2 linked regions of the Xenopus tropicalis genome follow. The protein of the gene in region 1 purifies or fractionates together with the protein of each later gene. This does not show direct contact. Links are inferred from orthologs where the notes say so. Each region holds a gene or a part of one and is shown in the gene's direction. Other genes may lie near its edges.

The links. The genes of interacting proteins can lie anywhere in the genome.
Region 2: the proteins of retreg3 (region 1) and reep4 purify together in Homo sapiens (affinity purification with mass spectrometry; 3 studies listed by BioGRID and IntAct, with this or other methods). This does not show direct contact. The link is inferred for Xenopus tropicalis from reciprocal best matches to the Homo sapiens genes RETREG3 and REEP4.

Annotation. Positions count from the first base shown.
Region 1 is NC_030686.2:29,107,843-29,111,499, forward strand, and holds part of retreg3 (reticulophagy regulator 3), read left to right. Parts: intron 1-761; coding exon 762-792; intron 793-1,624; coding exon 1,625-1,751; intron 1,752-2,416; coding exon 2,417-2,501; intron 2,502-2,933; coding exon 2,934-3,071; intron 3,072-3,578; coding exon 3,579-3,649; intron 3,650-3,657. UniProt on the Homo sapiens protein: Endoplasmic reticulum (ER)-anchored autophagy regulator which exists in an inactive state under basal conditions but is activated following cellular stress.
Region 2 is NC_030679.2:129,572,460-129,575,637, reverse strand, and holds part of reep4 (receptor expression-enhancing protein 4), read left to right. Parts: intron 1-288; coding exon 289-402; intron 403-732; coding exon 733-865; intron 866-2,169; coding exon 2,170-2,339; intron 2,340-2,745; coding exon 2,746-2,811; 3' UTR 2,812-3,178. UniProt on the Homo sapiens protein: Microtubule-binding protein required to ensure proper cell division and nuclear envelope reassembly by sequestering the endoplasmic reticulum away from chromosomes during mitosis.

The DNA of each region.
Region 1 (3,657 bases):
AGTACAATAGTTCTCCAACATCCATGGGGTGGTTATCATGGTTAAACCTTGATATAGACAAGATTTCAGACTTGTCTATACATACCAATTAACAAAGGGGTGACCATTCCTAAAGAATTTGGAAAGTGTTAAGGTGGCCATACACGTGGCGATCCGACGATGTTTCGTACGACCATCGGTCGCACGAAACATCGTAAGATCCGCCACACACCATTCAGGGCTGAATCGGCAGGTAAGGAGGTAGAAACAATAGGATTTCTACCTCCTTTTGCCGATTCAGCTCTGAAGGGAGAATTTTGGTCAGGCGCCTTCTATGGCGCCCGATCAAAATTTTCAAACTTGTCCGATCGGCGAGTCGTCCGATATCGGCAGCTTCCTGCGATATCGGTCGACTCGCCGACATGCCATACACGCACCGATTATCGTACGAAACGAGGTTTCGTACGATAATATCGGTGCGTGTATGGCCACCTTTAGTCTTCTTACAAGGTGAATTGTCTTTTAAGGGGACACGTTTAGTTAAGCCCATGGCATGTAAACATAGGTTAGATCATGAGCAATACTTAATGCAGACCCTTCTAGCAAAACCCCATTAAGGACTTTCACTGGTAAGACTTTTCTTTGTTCCATTGCACCACCTACCTACCAATTCTGCCCCTGTAAAGAGACAGTACAGAATATATAATATACCTGGTGCTTTAAAAGATACAATATTCAAATTAGTTAATTAGTTCTCACTATTTCTGTTTGTGTTTTTTCAGCAGCAAGAGCCAGTGAACTGGAGAATGAAAGGTGAGATAGTTATACCTTACTGCCTTATTGCTTTCTTGGCCATACCAGTTCTTCTAGAACTAGCCACACCTTACCTACCTTAGTTATGAGAAAGTGAGAGTTGTAGTTCTATGCCACCCCTAGCAGATGCTTCTGGGGTCTGACTGAGGTTGATGCCAGACAGCTGAAACATTTATGCTTTTTATGTTCAGCTCCGTTTTGCTTTATCTCTTTTATACTACTACATGCTATATATAATAGTAATATATACATACTATATATAATATGTCACATAGATTTGTGGAGACCTATTATGAGAGAACAGGACATCAGATTAGACTGCATAGACATTTAGAGCGAGAAGACGTGATTTCTTATTGCTTTTGGTGACACCAGGAAGAATTATTACTTATATCCCCAGACAACTAACATATAAATGTGTATATTCAATTATTTACCGTAGCCCTATAATATTAAATTTAAAATTTTCCATTTTTTGTTTGGCTGTTTGATTTGTGCCTGTGGCATTGCACATGCTCCGTGTGCTCTGGTTGTTTGACATTATCAAAAAATTAGCAGAAAAGGAGGTTCAGGGGCATCCAGACATCCACATAATTCACATGCACTGGTTTCTATACTGCCATGTAAATCTGAGCCTTGTACTGTGCATATACTGTATATTGTTCCTAAGATCATGTAACTGACTGCAAGCCAGAACATGTGATCCTTGGGCATAAAGCTGAAAACATAAGATCTAGCATCTCTAGACTATTTCTTTAACTTTTAGGTCTTTTTGTTCTACTTACTACATGTTAAAAGATTTGTTTTCATGATGAGTTTTGGTGTGTTTCAGCTGGGGCTATGTGCATCCAAGGCTGCTCAGCGTCCCAGAGCTGTGCTATCATGCAGCTGATACATGGGTCAGTGTCTACAACTTTTTAAGGAATCTTCTGCTCTTCAAAACTGAAAATCCGGGCAAGGTAATTCAAATTTTGTGTACTATTCTGAACGCCTCAAACTATTTTACCTGGTTTTATATGGACAAATGACCTGTTTCTCTAAGGCTGTTGAAATGGTGATTCCCCCCACCCCACAGGCATCTATCAAAATAATTAAAATATGGTTTCTTGCATCCAAAAGAATTATAGAGTTTTGTAGGCTTTCAAGCCAACCAAACAAGAAGGCCATTGAGGTGGTAGGAAGAATTGGGCTCAGCAATTGGATCACCATAGAGGTATTTGCATCACTGCATCCAGAATCCGATGCAGTCGGTCGTTGCCCAGTGGAATTTTTATAGATATCTGGCAGATTGTCAGTCAGATGTTGTTTAGGAAGGGTGTCATTTTGGCCCATATACACAGACCAGTAATTGTTAGTTTGCAATTTGAAGAGTCGTTATCCATTATAGGCATGTGTGACCTGCTTTTATGGAATGTTGTCCATATCATTCTAATATAGTGGCTGCTTTAGGACTTACACCCAAACACACTACTAGTGTGTGTACTGACTACTATTTGATATAAATAAATAAGGTAGACCAACCAAGAAGAGGTTTGGGCCAAAACTGATGGATGAATGCCTCTTATGTTGCATGTATTTGTCGACTGATGTAAACCTATTGCTTGTTGTGTCTTTTCATATACAGTTTTGCCTTTTGGCCTGCAGCTTTCTGACTTTCCTAGCTGTTCTTGGTGGATACATTCCTGGTGTTGTGCTGTCATATTTGCTTTGTAAGTTGAATATTTTCATTTGTATTAATGGTCATTTGTACCAAAAAGCATATTTACAGTAAGATCTGGCGAACAAGGAGTTCATCCCTACATTATACTAATTACAAACCCTTTACTTGAACATGAACCTTTCAGTAGTTTAGAAAATCCTATTAAAACAGGTAAAACCAAATAACAATATGTACTTCTGCTTTCTGCTCTCGCTTCTGGCTTGACCTACTGTTCAGTCTAGAGGTAGTCCTGACAGAGGTTCATGTTGAATGTGATAAAAATATATTTCACAAGCTTTTTGAATACTGAAATCTCTGTTTTTCAAACATCAGACATATAACAGTAGATAGGTATGCCATCAGTGCCTTACCCTGTTGGGCAAGAAAAAACATTCTTCTCATTATGCTGTTTGCTTTGTTTTTTTTTTTTGCCACCCCACAGTACTTTTTCTTCTGCTTTGGCCTCTTGCTATATATCACCAGCTGGGGCGGCGTATATACCAGAAGCTGGAGCCAGCCCTGCAGCGGCTAGACTTCAGTGTGCGTGGCTATATGATGTCCAAGTATAAGGAAAGGCAAAGTAAGTGGCTATGATAAAACCCTTCTAGCTTGGATATTGTGTGAAGTATGCTTGTTTATTTCAGTTTGCAGTAAAGATTTTGATTTATGGACCTATTAATGTAAGACATACGACCAGTTGATTAAGTTTACTTTAAATAGGAGTGTGTATTGTCCTTTTAACTGCTGCTAACTGAAGTAACCAAGATTTGGGACTGAGGCCTATCTAAAGCTGCCTGCACAGTTTAGTGGGTCATTAGCAGCAGCCCCACTAAATCTCACAGATACAGCATTATTAAGGTAGGTTTGGAAAGACCAGATGTACCAGACACTGCATAGGTGGCTATATTAACAGTTGCTCAGCACAATGCTGCTCTGGCGTACTCATAAGTGTGTGCTAGTGAATGGATGGGTTTAACTCATATATTATTGGCTACCTTATATTTTGTTTTCTAAATATATACCACTTGCACATATTTCTGCTTATTTTATTCATGTGAAAAACTGCTCTCTATATTTCTAATTTCAGAGCATAATCGTGCCCTTCCTCCAACTGATGCTAGTGACAGTGAAGAAGAGCTTGCAGCATTTTGTCCTTCGGTAAAAGT
Region 2 (3,178 bases), on another chromosome or scaffold:
AGCTGTACTGCTGTTCCTATGTGCAGGCTCTAGCACGTACAGCTCTCCCCTCAGGCAGCGGCACATGGAGTTCCTGTTCTGACCTGTTTCTTAGAACAACACCAGGGTACTGTATGATAAGTGCTTGGGAAATGCAGACTGTCATCCAGTTAGTCTATTCCCTGTACCAGAAACCTGAGAAATGCAGGTTTCCATTAACCCCAATCCTCAATACATAAACAGTTTTCAGTGCATTTATATTGAGGCTTCCCATACAGTGATAATACTGATGTCTCTTCTCTCTCATAGGAAATCGATTCCTACATTATACAGGCAAAAGAACGAAGTTACGAGTCATTTGTGAACATTGGGCGAAAAGGTTTAAACATAGCAGCCAGTGCGGCAGTGCAAGCTGCTACCAAGGTAATTTCTACCGGCCACCCATCCCTGGCACCTACCCAGGATATCCAGATTGATTGGAACACCGTTCAGTAGTCAGTTTGTTATCCCACCTATCATTTTCCATTCACTCCTTCATTGTTTTGTTTCTTTTAATATAATGAAACAAAAGCCATGCATAAACATTTAAGGACTCCTTTATTAATGGTTAAGACTTAAGTGCAGATTTGCACCCGTTAGGCCCATAGGCAGAGTACTTGAAGACTTGAGCTCTCTCAAGATTCCATGAACGGTCAGATGTAGTTTTTTTGGAGACCAGTAGAACCCTGTGCTAAAATGGTTTCTCTATGGCAGGGTCAGGGCGCATTAGTGGGGCGCCTGCGGAGTTTCAGCATGCAGGATTTGCGTGCTCTTCCTGATGACACACCTATACACTACAGAGATGCCCTGTATCCTGATGCACCAGAGCTGCACCGGAGGCCAATTGGTGAGTAGCGAGACTCTTCCCCATGTCCATGTAGGGTTGCCACCTGTCTGGTTTTGACCCGTACAGCCCAGTTTTTGGAAGGGTTGTCCCTGTCAAAACTGCCTGCCGGGTTTTTCAATTTGGAAAACCAGGAAGGACTCTCAAATTTTCATGTGTCAATAAGCCGATTGCTGTGTCCCTGTGATGACATTGTCCCGCCCTGTGATGTCACGTCCCACCCTCCTGCCTGGAGATAGCAGCCCTAGTCACATGTGGAGGTTGGGGGAACTCCACTCAGTTTTTTTTTTTTAAACATAATTTCAAGCAACCACAGCCTTTTCATGATTTTTAATGTAATAGTGTGGTTTGGAACAGTTACCTAAGCCCCACCCCTGGCTGACTACTTTCTACTTTGAACTTGACTGACCGCAGCCTGCCTTCAGCCTGTCCCCTCCAAATCCCACAATCCCCTGCACACATGATGTCACTAAGAAAAGGACCATCACAGTGCAATGCATTGTGGGTTATGTAGTTCCTGCATGCTGTCTGTAGGCTGTGGATCACTGTTTTAGCCCCTCCCCTGCCAGGATTTCAAATGATGCAGAAAGAGAACTGCTTTGCAGCTGGATTTCAGCATATAAGGATTATATTTATTCATACTTTTTAAAGGAACAGATTATAGTGATAGGTATATTAGGGGTTTCTGTGTTGTGTGGGGCTCTAACAAATTTTGGTTTAGAAGTTGGAGTTCCCCATTAACTACGTATTAAATATTTCCAACAGTCAATGAATCTGTAGCTTTTACAAATTTGTTCTGGATGTGATTCATGGTTTAGTATAAAAGATAAGTTAATGGGCAGATGGCATCTCTAAAAGTATCACCCATAGTCTCTTTATGGCTGCATCCAGATGAGCGTGTGTTTACTGAAATAGTCCCTGGGGGATGCCTTTCCCTGAAGGGCTCTCTTGCTCTGTAGGGAATGCTGAGTACTGTTATCCATTGTTGGCTTATGACCAGCGCTGGGTGGCTACACTCCCATAAGTGGCACATTGCCAGGCTTCGTTAATGTTTTGTGCCCAGCAGTAGAGTAACCACACCCTAACCAAAACTTACTATGATAGATAAGGTCATGTTGGGAGGGGAGGGGGGGGGGTCAGCTGGATGGTTTATTAAAGGGATACTTCTTGTATGGGAATTTGAAGAGGTCCATACTTATTATAAGGAGTCACTTTTCATAAACAGTGAAAGGTGGAAGGAAGAGTATGAGGGGAACCGGCCTGATGGGATGTAATATTGTTCTGGTTTTGTGCCTTCCTCTTGGCAGGATACCCAACCACTTCCCATGCTGATAGTGACTCCATGGATGAACGGTGGTCGGATTCTGAAATGGCCGAAACAAGGACAGCAGCTAGGACAAGAGGAGGCATGCCATCTAAACCACTACAGAGGAGCCAGAGTCTGCGGGTTTCCAAGAAGAAAGGGCTAAGTCGAGAGGTTAGTAATGACATAGGCATGCTGTCATGTAGACTTTGGGGATTATGTAATACAAGACACTAAATTTGCCCAGGATCAGTAACCCATGGCAACCAATCAGCTTGTAGCATTTACTGGTCACCTATTTAAAAGCAAACATCTTGGTTGCTATGAGTTACTGCTCCTGGGCAAAAGTATTGTCTTTTATTACATATGGGGGTAAGATCTTAATATCTGGAATAGTAATGTTTACTCGGCTTTGGGCATAAATCCTTGTCCCCACCAATACATAGACCTAAAGTATTCATGCCCTTGCCCTCATGATACTCAGGCTCTAGTTACATTATCAGGGCAGCTTCTCCCAATACACTGACATTAGTAAGATGGAAGGTGCTCCTCCATATTCATATTTCCCCCCAATTTCTAGGTCTCTACGAAAACAACGAAACCCAAAGGAAAGAAGAAGCCTGCACAATCAGAACCCGAAAACTAAACCGGGCTTTCAATGACTGACTGAGGGCTGCGCCTCGCTGTAATCGTTCTATGGAGCAAAAACACTGAATTTTATGGATGCCAGGATGTCCCTCACTCAGCATGATTTCTGGGGTGCAGGATTCACGGCAACCTGTTGTGGAAACGACAAGTTTGCGGGTGTAAGTGTGTGTGTGTATATATTAAAGTGTGATGTATTAACCCATGCAGGGCCTTCTGTGCAAACTGCTGATGCCAAGTTCCTGCACCTTTGCACTGGTTGCTGCTGTGTTAGAACCTAACTGTGCCTGACAGTATGAGCTGCCTGTGAGGCTGCGGCGTGCAACAGCTGAGCAGGACAGAAATAATCGCACACTCAAGCTCTGCAC